Linked DNA regions of Caenorhabditis elegans. The protein of the gene in region 2 purifies or fractionates together with the protein of the main gene of each other region. This does not show direct contact. Each region holds a gene or a part of one and is shown on either strand. Other genes may lie near its edges. The genes, in order: apc-1, emb-1 and such-1.

Region 1 (4,450 bases), on a different chromosome or scaffold from region 2:
CGCCGGCAATCGGTGCGTCTCAAGTTCATCATTCACATTCGTGTCGTAGCTCACCATCATCTAAACACCGCCCACCACCACCTCGTAGATCACTTAGATAGTTTTCTCGATATTCTTCAGTTGATTTTGTTCGCTTCTACACTTTCCTTCTCACCACGTATATATATATATATATATAACAATAAATACACTAACTTCTAGGTTTGCTGTGTGCCGTGTGCTTTTCGTTTTATAGTTTTTTTGTTGTTGGTTTCTGTTGGCTAAATTCATATTCTAATTTACTCAAATCTAGCTCCAATGTGTGCTCTTCTTGGCTCAACAGAGAGCAACTCGACGACTACAACAACTCAGCCATCATCTCCAATTACTCCATATCGACGAAGAAGTATGTTCCGCGCGGGTGGAGCTCTTCAAAGGAATAGCCAAGACTTCACAGCACTACGGTATGTAACAATTTGACGGACATCAGCTATAATTCTCACTTCACGTATTTTCAGAAACCGCCGTATGTCTTCTCCCAACAACCCGTCAATTCTTCTAAATAATTGCGACATTCAACTGCTCAAGTTGACGTCTCAATTGAGCCCCCTCGAAGATCAAGTCAAACAGAATCGAGTGCCAGGACGAGCGCATCAGCAACGGCGAAGCATAACACTTTTAAATTTTGATCATCATCATCGTGCACGATCGCCCACGACTTGAGGTTAATGGTGCTAATAAATTTTTATGAATTAAAAAAAAAAATTACCTTCAAAATTCGGTGTTGGAAGTGTTGCAGGGTAGCCTGGAGCGTTCGGGTTGTTTGGAGTAGAATGTCCAAAACCGGATCGCAGATGAGGAGTGAACGGTGAGCGGCTATCAATTTCCGAGCTGATCACTTCGGAGAGCACATTTTCTGGAAAATAATTATGATTTTTTGTTGAATATAAATTAACTCGGACTTCCACACTATATCATAATTGAAAATATTTATTTTTTAGTTTTTAATCACAACTCTTTCTAATTTAACATTTGATTTTTTTAGTAGTTTTTGGGGAAAATCGAATTATTTCCTGTTCGAAACGAGGTTTTTTTGGTTTTTAACTTAAATCACTGTAAATTAACTAAATATTGACGATTTGAATGTCTGATACAATACGAATAATATATTTATCCAAAAGCTCAAGTTTTCAAAAATTACCGGCGGGAGAGTTGAGTGTCGGATCAAAATGCGTAGTTCTGCCGGCAGAATTCGGCGCCAAACTCGACGCGAACATTGTTGAATCAGACGGTCTTCTGAGTGCTTCAACGTATCGAATCGCTGCGTGAACTTCCTGTTCTTGTGTCTCTCGTGCCATATAAATCCGATGCGTCTTCTCCTTCTGATCATAGACAACAACGTAATTTTGCTGAGCGTCAACGAGTCCAGCCTCGTCTCGATGCGATTGCCAACAGAATTTCCATTGTGGATGGTAGCCGCTTGTCTTGTAGATAACCGGGAGAAGCTCGCCGAATGGACCGGATAGCGAGTAGAGGTGAAATGTGTCGTGATGGTGGAAGGTTTGTTCGCTGGATGAATCGTAGAACCGTTCGACCAGAAGACTTGTCGAGCAGGAGAACACGTTGCGAAGCTGGAAATATTTGAAATTATCAGAATTTCAAACTAAATTCTCACCTTAAAAGGAATTTCATAGTGATAGAAATGATAGTCGGGAAGCGATATGAACTGGAGCTTATGCTCACCGCACACAACCAAATAATCCCGATGCTTCGTATCAGGTCCACCACAATTCTCAGTTGCCAACTTTTCAGCGTTTCGAGTCACAATGAACGAGTGGAAGAACACTTTTTTGATATCAAACTCCATTTTGAACCGTCGTTTAATCATCTTCCGTCGCGTCGTTCCATCACAAATGAGAATAATTGGACCCGATGTGAAGACAAAATCCGTGGTCTTCTCCTTGTTTCGAAACGCGCAGACCACTGTATCCTGGGTGAAGAAATCCTGAAAATTTAAGTTTACTTTTTTTAAATTGTTAATTATCTAAAAAAAATTACCTTTCCAATTTCATCTCCCAGCTGAATATCAAACTGTTTATTAGCAGAGATCATATTTTTCCAATGGCAATCATCAAATTCTTCACTCATACAAGTATAATTCGAATTTGAATGAAGCTGAAAATCCTGTTTTAAATAGTAAAATTATTTTGGAAGTATGAAAAAGATTTGAAACAAATTATAAAAACGAATATATGGCGAATATATATATACAGAACAAGTTTTACTTTAGAATCCTTAAATTCGGATAACAGATAAAATGTTAATTGATACATTATCAGTAGTTCAGTAGGTCAGATCATGATGAAATATTTAGAATTACAGGTTATCAATATTCAGATCGAAGTTGTTCCTTCCTCCTCCTTTTCTTTCTTCACTGCTTGATTGTCAGTTGGAGCATCCACTGCTCGTTTTGCTGGACGACGAACCTGGAAATTTGTTAATTGAATATTTAAAAAGTCTACGGGAAGTTAATTCAAACCGTACCAAGCTAGAAATATCATTTGCTTCCTTCTGATCACCGGCTTCTTGTGGAAGTTTTGCCAATACTTGTGTGAATCCTTCGAATTGCGCTTTAATGGCCTTCTTAGTTTCCTCAACTTGTGCTGCAGAGTGCACAGCATCAGCAATCATTTCTTCAACGCCTGGCATCATCTCTTCAAGCTCCTTCAGCTCATTCTCAAATTCAGACTTCTTTTCCTTATCATCAACACCTCTTTCCAGCTCATGCTTCAACTCAGTCTGCCTGGCGATGAGTACGTCCTTGGTTTTGCCGAAGTACTGAACGGTTTCATCGTAATTCGCATCGCTAGCACACGCGTTTCCGATGAGAATGTAGGTTTGGGCGATTTTTCTCGACGACGGTGGAAGAACATTGCGCTGAATGTTGAGGGCACGATCCAAGTCCTCAAAAGCCTGAGTATACTTTCCATCTGATATTCCGTGCTCGCCGAGGAGAACCAGTACATCAGCGAGTTTCAGGTTCCATTCCTCAATGGCACTGATTCCACTCTGCTCAGCTTCTAGAGCTTCGATTTTGGCAGCGGCAATACAACGAGCTGTCTGAAAATAATCACAATTAAGCATAAAATCATTGAATAAAATAAGAAACCTCAAGAATTTCCCATGATAATTTCATGGTATCATCATCATCGTCCTCTTCTTCACCGGATTCCTCTCCGTCCTCCTTCTCCGTTTCTCCATTCTCTTCGTCAGTCTTGTCATCAGAATTTCCAGCTTGCTCCTCATCTCCGCTTTCCTTCTCACCTGGACCTTTCAGAAGTTGGCTCTCCTCCTTCGCCAATTCCAGTGTGGCCATGCCATAATAGTAAAGAGAATCGAACGTGTTTTCATGGTTTTCTCCATAAATTTCGGAGCTCAGTTCAGTAGCCTCACTCAACGAATCCGATGCTTTGTCGATATCGTTAACTTTCAACGCACGGCGTCCAGCTGCAAGCAACTCGGCGAGACGCTTCTCTCTGGAATACGAAAAGTGATTTTATTGATGATATTCTGCAGCAAAAGTTTACTTCTGCTCGACAGTCTCTTCTTCTGTAGTAGTCCCGTTTCCTTTTTCATCTGAATCTCCTGAAGCATCCTTCACACGAATATCAGAGGCGTCGGCGATGTTTTCAGTGTCCATTTTCTGATTTGTTAATATCTGAAAATAAATACTATTCGATATATATTCAAAATTCAATAAAAAGCGGATAAATTCAAATGAGTATAATAGCGCGGGAGAGCCTAGAAACCGAGCGTTGCCTAGTCCACTAAAAACCGGCCATACGGCGGGAATTAGTACGTTTCGAAAAGGTTTATCAATAAATGTTTTTAAACAAACATATAAACTGTATTCATGATGTTTTTAGAATTCTACCGCTAGAACAGACCGACAGGCCGATTTTTTGGTTGATTTCAGTTGATAATTCCAGCTTGAATCACTTATTAACACTGCCGCCGCTTAAAAACTTTTAATTAAACAAAAATAAACACAATACTTCAGCAAAACTTTCATTTGAAAAGAGAAAAAACAATTTTTTGGGAGTATAAACTTAAATTGTCAACAACAAATTTTCCCGCGCTGTGCAATGTTGCGTCTGCGTGCCGCACAGATATTACTGTAACGCATCACATATGACGAGCAATTGGAGTTTTCTTTATTTTTTCTTTTTTGTTTTTGCATTTTCTTTTGCCTATTTTCCTTCTAGTTCTTTAACAAAATGAATTTATTAAAAACTTTTATTCTAAATACTAGAGAAAAACTGTATATCACATAAAACTCGATGGCACATTGTTGAGAATCTTCCAAGTTGTAATTAAGTCCGCTCAGAAGTCGTTTTAGGCGATTTCTGAAAAGAAATTAAAATTATGTTTAACTGCTGTGTTTCAATACCTTCTTTAATTTTATTGTAAA
Region 2 (3,721 bases):
CACAACTAACCGTAAAATTGTTATCAATTTGAATAGGTACATTCTTTTCCAACGGAAATGAGCTCATTGGATACTGGACAGTCTCTTGAAATGTTTGAGCCGACACGGCTGACCCGGCATTTTTGGAGAAATAATACTCTTGCGTCTGTTTTTTGTTGGCTTCTGCTTGTCGTCCAGCAACATTAATCGTTGTTTTCTCTGGAGTAGTAGGATTTGAATTCCATCCTTTCAATGAAGCTCCCGAATCGCCCAATTCAACAGCCATCAATGGTTGTACAGCGGCAACCAAGGGTCCTGGTGGCGCATTCCGATTTATTGGAGATGTTGGCTGAGAATCCTGATTTCGTTTCAGAATTGTGACTTTTTGAGGAACGATGTTCATTGGAGGACGATTTTGCGATGGATTTCTGCTCGTCTTTTGGGAGGAGGAAGCCGAATCAGCTGGACTGTTTGATGATCTTTTCCGGCCTGTAAGTTCAATGTTAGTTCAATATGAAAATTAAGAAAAAATGAAGAACACTCTGTTCGAAAATTGCTATAAAGTTTTCACTTTGTTTGATAAGAAAGTTGATAAATAAATAAAAGTGGCGTTTCTGCTAAAACTGTTCAATAACTTCAGGATTGATAAGGAAAAAGTTATAGTAGAGAGTGAATCAACGGTATTTTTGAATACTAAGAACAGTAAAACCTCAATCTTTAAGCAATACGAAGGGCCTAATATACTTCATTGTATGAATTTTTAAAAATGATTAGTCATGAACTCACCACTATTCTGGCTATTTCCTCCCCTTCCACCTCCAAGGGCTCCTCCTCTCCGCCTACTTCCAGACCTTTGCTCATCGGTCATCTCACAACTCTTTTTAATAATTACAGTACAATATTAATACCTATTATTCGGTTCGTCTTTCCCAATGAAACTGAAAAGAAGCGATTGAATAAAATCTGGAATAATTTGAGAACAAAATATTAAATTAGGTAATAACGAGGTCAGTACCTCGGAAATGAATTCCATAATTAAAAAAAATGGTATGCCAAATCGAGTTTTATTTACAGATAAATATGGTGTAGAATAGGGAATTCAAGGATTTGCAGGCATATTTGCTGCTGCATGGACAGCGTTCACATGACGTTGATCTTCACGAGTCAGAATAGCCACACTGTCTTGCAAGTGACGCAGAAGATCTTGATTATCCTGCAATAAATTTAGAATGAACAACAATGTACTTTTTCAGAAAAGTGTGATTTTGAAATAAAAACGTACCCATTGAGCTTGACGGTGCTCACAAATCGTGGTGATGAATGACTCTTTTGCTGGTGAGACTTCGGAAACCCACAAGTGCTCGGACCAGTTGAGTGGAGGTTGTGCTACGTGGAATGGGTACATCAAAGCCATACTTGATCTGTAAACGTGGTTTTTTGAATCAAAGTCATCTAAAAAACGGGCAAAAGTAAAATGAAGGTTGTTTCAGCCTATAATAATAAGAGATGTAAAAAGCAATGTATGAAAAAAAATAACCGTTTTATTTAACAACAAAAAAACACGATGTAACTGACACAACTTAAACAACCCGAAATTTGATCAAACTCCCGCTGAGATTTTAATTAATTCTTCAAAACGTGTCCGACGAATGGATATTTCCTAGCACAAATCGGTGCCCATTCAGGTCCACATCCTTCACTACTCTCGAAAAGATCGCGGTTGTTGTCATAGAGATCTTGTGAGCCAGAGAGGTCGTAAATCTGAAATAAACTTATTTTTTTGATAATCCGAAAAGTATTTTATTACTTTGTCTTCCACAATGACCAGGCACCTGTTCTCCTCGCGGCGCATGCTTTCGATTTCTTCCATTGTCATATCACGCTCTTCGAGCTGTTCGATCTGAGAAACAAAAATTCACATCCCAAGATTTATTTGCAAATTACCTCATATTTCGCTGGCTCATTGATTTTTGCAACAAGCATCCTTTTAACAATTTTATTCAAAGCCACGAGAAACACCACAAACACCGCAACATCGATGAAAGTGAGCTCATATTCCCCGATTTGCATTTTTTGGGAAGAAAATTCAAATCCAAATTATTTTTTCAAATCGTTTTTATTCCCCAGTCTCATGGCCGACATTTCTTCGGCCCCGCCCGGAAAAGCTGCAGCAAGTACGCTCCACTGCAGTTTTTCGAATTCTCATTGCATGGAATTCCTGAGACACCACGGTTTCAAGATCTGGTGGGATTCTCCGTTTTCCGGATCTACCATATCCGGATCTACGTTTTCCGGATCTACGTTTTCCGGATCTGGCACCGTGCCAACTCTTAAAACGCTATTTTTTCGAAGAAAAAAGTGACAACGACGCTGCGATGTTACGCGTCGCGTGTTCTTAAGCGTTTCTTCTAGAAGAAAATTTCGAAAAAAGTCGTGCGTTGAAAAGCGTTTTGTGCGTTGGCACGGTGCCAGATCCGGAAAACGTAGATCCGGAAAACGTAGATCCGGAAATGGTAGATCCGGAAAACGTAGATCCGGGATCCCATCAGATCTTGAAACCGTGGTGTCTCGAATTCCTTTGACTTGAAAACTTGCATTTTTTCATGAAAAACTGGTTAAAATTCTAGATTTTCTTTTAAAGACAAGTTTAAAACATTTGATCCAATGCGCCGTTCGATTAGTCACTAGCCAGAGTACGTATTTATTGACCACTCGTTCGATAAATGTAATTATCCTACAAAATTCGCATTGAAACTTTCTTCGTTTATGTCCCACGTCAATCAAGCGGTTTCGTGTATATTTTGCTACTTTCAGGAGATGTCTTTCGTGTGCGGAATCAGTGGTGAACTGACCGAAGACCCAGTCGTCTCTCAAGTCTCAGGGCACATCTTTGATCGTCGGCTGATCGTTAAATTCATTGCCGAAAACGGAACAGATCCGATCAGCCATGGAGAGCTTTCTGAAGACCAGGTTTGTCAACCTTGCAATTATCTTCACTGACGTGAAACTTCGAAATGATAATTCATTGAAAAAACAAAATAATAATTTCTAAAATTCATTTTTTAGCTCGTTTCATTGAAAAGTGGCGGCACTGGATCAGCACCACGCAATGTCTCTGGAACATCCATCCCATCTCTACTAAAAATGCTTCAAGACGAGTGGGATACAGTAATGCTCAACAGCTTCTCTCTCCGACAACAACTCCAAATTGCTCGTCAAGAACTTTCTCACTCTCTGTACCAACACGATGCCGCTTGTCGTGTTATTTCCCGCCTCTCCAAAGAATTGACCGCTGCTAGAGAAGCATTGTCTACTTTGAAACCACACACATCGGCGAAAGTTGACGATGATGTCAGCATTGACGAGTCTGAAGATCAACAAGGTCTTAGTGAGGCAATTCTGGCAAAACTTGAAGAGAAATCAAAGAGTCTGACTGCTGAACGTAAACAACGAGGAAAAAATCTTCCTGAAGGACTTGCCAAAACAGAAGAGCTCGCCGAGCTGAAACAGACAGCATCTCACACTGGAATTCATTCGACTGGAACTCCTGGAATTACTGCATTGGATATCAAGGGAAATTTGTCACTTACCGGAGGAATTGATAAAACCGTTGTCTTGTATGACTATGAAAAGGAACAGGTTATGCAAACATTCAAGGGGCATAACAAGAAGATCAACGCAGTTGTTTTGCATCCGGATAATATTACTGCAATCTCTGCTTCTGCTGATTCACATATTAGAG
Region 3 (4,450 bases), 6.4 Mb from region 2:
GTGTCACACCAGTCAAGAATCTGGAAATATGACATTGCTTTTGTCGGGCATAGTTGGACGAGACGGAGCTGTGCGGCACACCAGTGACGAGCACGAATTGAGCAGTCGATTTCGGTGGGAAGAGCTCGATTGATTCCGGATAATATTGGGTGGCTGCTGGAAATTCAAATCGTTTTTTTTTGCGAAAAATTGACGATTTTAAACGATTTTTTTCGACTGAAAAACTTTGAAAAAAAAATTAATTTTAGACCGAAAAAATTTTTCAAGGAAAAATGTATGAATTTTCACTGAAAATTTGCGGTTTTTTGGCTTTTTTGGGTGGAAAAATTCCGTAAAAAATTCATTTTTTGGTCAAAAAATCGCAAAAATTGTGTATTTTTCCGTTTTTTTTTCAGTAAAAAAAATCGAAAGCTTAAATTTCGTTCAAAAATTAATTTAAATCCCCCACTTTTCTGGTTTTTGAAAGCTTTTTGGTCCTTAAAGACCAAAAAAAGTCTCCTAAAATAGCTTTTTTTAAATTTTTAACCAGAAAATAGTAATTTTCACGAATTTTTGACAAAAAAAGATTTTTGTTTGGGTTTCTAATCGAAAATGCCGAAATAATCGTAATACATTGACGAAAAAAAATTTGAACCCATTCGAAAGAACAAAAAATTCGCAATTTTTACGATTTTTCAACTGAAAAAACGGGTTTAACGATTTTTTTGACTGATAACCCAAAAAAAAATCAGTGTTACCGGTTTTTAGACTGAAAACCGAATTTTCAACGTTTTACTACAGAAAAAAGCAAAAAGACTCGCAATTTTGACGTTTTTCCTACCGAAAAACGCTTCTTGTTTGATTTTTCTCAAAACAAAACCTCAAAAAAATTTATTTTATACCGAAAAATCGAATTGTCAAGGGTTTCCCATTCAAAAGAACAAAAAATTCGCATTTTTTACGATTTTTCGACTGAAAAACTCAAAAGAAACATCAATTTTAACCGGTTTTTTGACTGAAAATCGAATTTTCACCGATTTCCTACAGAAAAAAAGCAAAAAACTTGCAATTTTAGCGCTTTTCAAACCGAAAAAACATTTTTTTCTTCAATTTTTCCACCCAAAAAAGAAAAAAAAGCTAAAAAGCAAAATTTTCTGTTTTCAGAATTTCCTAAAAAATCCAAAAATTACAATTTTTTCTTTTTTTGGGTGGAAAATCCTTGAAAACTCGATTTTTCAGTCTTAAAATTACGAAAACTCGATTTTTCGGTCTAAAAAAACGCAAAATATGCAATTTTTCAGCTTTTTTAGGTGGAAAAACCTTGAAAAGAATTTTTCGGTAAAAAAATTGTTTAAATTTTTTTCGTCAATGTATTACGATTATTTCGGCATTTTTCGATTAGAAACCCAAACAAAAATCTTTTTTTTTTTGTCAAAAATTCGTGAAAATTACTATTTTCTGGTGAAAAATTTAAAAAAAAAGCTATTTTAGGAGACTTTTTTTGGTCTTTAGGGACGAAAAAGCTTTCAAAAACCAGAAAAGTGGGGATTTAAATTAATTTTTGAACGAAATTTACGCTTTCGATTTTTTTTACTGAAAAGAAAAACGGAAAGATACACAATTTTTGCGATTTTTTGACCAAAAAATGAATTTTTAACGGAATTTTTCCACCCAAAAAAGGCAAAAAATCGCAATTTTTCAGTGAAAATTCATACATAATCTCTAAAGTTCCTGAAATAATCCATTTTTGGAATTTCTCTGCAATCTCAAAAGTTCCATTCTGCGAGGTTCTTGTGTACTGCATCATGACGCGTTTTATCCAAATATACAAAAACGAGTTGCTATTCATAAAAGTGAGCTCGTCGAGCCAAGAATCTTCACGTTTTAGCACTTTCTCGTGATTTGGACGTTTTGCAGTGTAGAATGCGTCTTCAAAGAGCATTTCTATTTGATCTTCACCGTGCGCGAGCTTTTCCATGCTGAAAATTACGAAAATCACGTTTTTTGTGTTGAAAAAACTCGGAATTTTGAAAAATTATTCTAGAAAACCTTGTAACAAATCGATAATAAATGGATCGCCCGAGCCCATCGTTCAAAATTCTCACGATACAGCGAAAATCGTCGTAGGAAATTTCAGATTTCATGATGATTAAGCCATAGAGAACTGTGAATACTCTGAAAAACCAAATTTTATTTTTCATTTTCAACATTTTTATTCCAAAAAACCGAGTTTTCTCATCCTTATCGAAAGGCTTCAGGCTTGGCACCGCGCCAACTCCGAAATGTGCGTGAAAAAGTGTGCGAATTAGTTGAAAAATGGCGATTTTCGTTGGTGTCACAGGTTCGCCGGTGATATTCAGTAGAGTATGGCCAAAAAGTGAATCCAGACTGACGATTCGTCGAGTTTGCGCTTTTTTCGGAGGCATTCTGGAAGAAATTGAGGTTAAAATGCATTTAAATGAGGGAAAACGGGTTTTGAAAAGCGCGCGCGCGCCAAAAAGTTGTCTGTGGCGCATTTGAACGAATTTTCTGAGAAAAATCATGGAAAATACATTTTATTTAGCAATGTATCTGAATTTTTGCCAAAAAATCGAGAAAATGTGTTTTTTATGCGACAAATGAAAATACACTTTATTCGGCAAATTATTGATTATTTGCGCAAAAAACACTGAAAAATCGAACAAAAATTGAGAAAAAACCAGAAAACAGGGATTCGGGCCTAAATTCATCGGAAAATGTGTTACTGGACGGTTTTTTTCGCGCGAAAATGATGGAAAATGCAATTTATCTGACAAATTATTGATTTTCTCCGAAAAAAATACACTGAACAATAGGGAAAACGGAAATTTTCGACTTCAAAATAAAATAAAAACAAAACAAATTAAATTTTGTTTTCCGAGAGACCGCTCTTCAGCACACACATCGAGAGAGACGCAGAGAATCGGGTACGGTAGCGCGGTGGGTCTCGCCACGACATTTTTTGTCATTCAAATTTTTTTTTGTGTGTTTTAAAATTTTTTCATGCGCAAATCCACGCATTTCTCACTTTAAAACGCGTTTTTCAATAAAAAATGACTTCAATCGCCGTAGAAGAATTATTTGGAAGAAATTTAGAAACGAGCCGTGCACCGAATCCTTGGCCAGCGCCGAGCACACAAGAAACTGAGCCATTTGAAATGTTCGGTAAAGGAGCTGGATCCTTTTTTGACGGTATTTATTTGAAGCTAAAAATTTATTTTTTTAAATCTTTTTATTTCATTTTTCAGACAAGCCGTCCTCCGACTCGGAAGACCAAAAAGATGTGAAAAAAGCTAATCAAGCGGCCCGTGACTCGTATTATGGAGCCTATTCCTACGCAACTCAAGATTTCTCATCGTCACGTGGATTGTCGAGAGATATGGAGCAACTGAAGTCTCCCGCCAAATCTGAAAGTAATGGCACTTTGAGATCGGAGCATCAATGGCGTGATAAGAGACGAGAAAACCACCGACGTCCATTGAAGGAACACCATCGAAGAAACGAAACTCGCAGGGATTACAGATGTATGCGGCACCTCACGAACTCCAAAATTCGCGGGAATTCGTTTCGCGGGGACAGCAGTTTTTGGCTGTTTTTGGCTTCTATAGGAAATTATTTTTGATTTTTTGTTTTATAATATTCTTGAGAAGCATCATCCGAATTTAAAATGTGTGAAATTATGAAATTTGACCGAAAACTGAAGGTTTTACAGGAAGGATTCGCTACGGCTTTCTTTAAAATGTATCAGAATCGTCAGTTTTTCGATTTCAGTCGTAAAATATGCCATTTTGTAGAGAAAAGTCTGTTTCACAAAAATCCATGTTTGACATTTCAAAATTGTTTTTATTTAAAACCTGAAAAATCGAAAAAATAAGCTTTTAAAGGTGGAGTAGCGCCAGTGGGGAAATTGCTTTAAAACACGCATATGGTACCACAATGACCGAATATCATGATAAAAATTTTTTCTAGATTTTATATGATTTTTTGAAAATTGAAAAAATCTCAGTTTTGCCTAATTCCTATTTGAATTACCGCCAATTGGATTTGTTCGATGGAGCGCGCTTGCACGTTTTTATTTTTATTTATTGTTATTTTTTCTTATTTTTCACCGACTTTTCATGTTTTCAGTGTATTTTTGTCTGAAATTTGAAGAAAAAGTCAAAATAAATGCTATTTTTTGAAATTAATTAATTCGGGTTCGAAATCGCTTAAATGCATTTTTTTAATTTAACGCCTGTAAGCGTGCTGTTTAATCGAAAATTAGCATTTATTTTGACTTTTTCTTCAAATTTCAGACAAAAATACACTGAAAACATGAAAAGTCGGTGAAAAATAAGAAAAAATAACAATAAATAAAAATAAAAACGTGCAAGCGCGCTCCATCGAACAAATCCAATTGGCGGTAATTCAAATAGGAATTAGGCAAAACTGAGATTTTTTCAATTTTCAAAAA

Evidence for each region.
Region 1: the proteins of emb-1 (region 2) and apc-1 purify together in Caenorhabditis elegans (affinity purification with mass spectrometry, with the first as the bait; one study listed by BioGRID). This does not show direct contact.
Region 3: the proteins of emb-1 (region 2) and such-1 purify together in Caenorhabditis elegans (affinity purification with mass spectrometry, with the first as the bait; one study listed by BioGRID). This does not show direct contact.

Annotation. Positions count from the first base shown.
Region 1 is NC_003280.10:11,105,865-11,110,314, reverse strand, and holds the start of apc-1 (Anaphase-promoting complex subunit 1), read right to left. Parts: upstream 2,155-4,450; 5' UTR 2,092-2,154; coding exon 2,038-2,091; intron 1,985-2,037; coding exon 1,655-1,984; intron 1,611-1,654; coding exon 1,181-1,610; intron 896-1,180; coding exon 749-895; intron 745-748; exon of another isoform or gene 703-744; coding exon of another isoform or gene 498-702; intron 444-497; coding exon of another isoform or gene 293-443; intron 13-292; coding exon of another isoform or gene 1-12. Other genes in the region: glb-4 (GLOBIN domain-containing protein), read left to right, coding at 1-12, 293-443, 498-702; nasp-1 (Protein NASP homolog 1), read right to left, coding at 2,373-2,465, 2,524-3,099, 3,149-3,515, 3,567-3,679; C09H10.9 (YqaJ domain-containing protein), read right to left, coding at 4,353-4,385, 4,430-4,450. UniProt on the Caenorhabditis elegans protein: Probable component of the anaphase promoting complex/cyclosome (APC/C), a cell cycle-regulated E3 ubiquitin ligase that controls progression through mitosis and the G1 phase of the cell cycle.
Region 2 is NC_003281.10:5,171,118-5,174,838, reverse strand, and holds emb-1 (Anaphase-promoting complex subunit emb-1), read right to left. Parts: upstream 1,401-3,721; 5' UTR 1,394-1,400; coding exon 1,262-1,393; intron 1,193-1,261; coding exon 1,079-1,192; 3' UTR 1,030-1,078; downstream 1-1,029. Other genes in the region: cid-1 (4Fe-4S ferredoxin-type domain-containing protein), read right to left, coding at 11-468, 766-847; K10D2.5 (uncharacterized protein), read right to left, coding at 1,603-1,740, 1,787-1,879, 1,924-2,049; prp-19 (Pre-mRNA-processing factor 19), read left to right, coding at 2,797-2,949, 3,046-3,721. UniProt on the Caenorhabditis elegans protein: Probable component of the anaphase promoting complex/cyclosome (APC/C), a cell cycle-regulated E3 ubiquitin ligase that controls progression through mitosis and the G1 phase of the cell cycle.
Region 3 is NC_003281.10:11,521,354-11,525,803, forward strand, and holds the start of such-1 (Suppressor of spindle checkpoint defect 1), read right to left. Parts: upstream 2,407-4,450; 5' UTR 2,406-2,406; coding exon 2,206-2,405; exon of another isoform or gene 2,201-2,205; intron 2,155-2,200; coding exon 2,029-2,154; intron 1,959-2,028; coding exon 1,695-1,958; intron 157-1,694; coding exon 1-156. Other genes in the region: Y66D12A.16 (Spen family transcriptional repressor), read left to right, coding at 3,051-3,189, 3,246-3,521. UniProt on the Caenorhabditis elegans protein: Probable component of the anaphase promoting complex/cyclosome (APC/C), a cell cycle-regulated E3 ubiquitin ligase that controls progression through mitosis and the G1 phase of the cell cycle.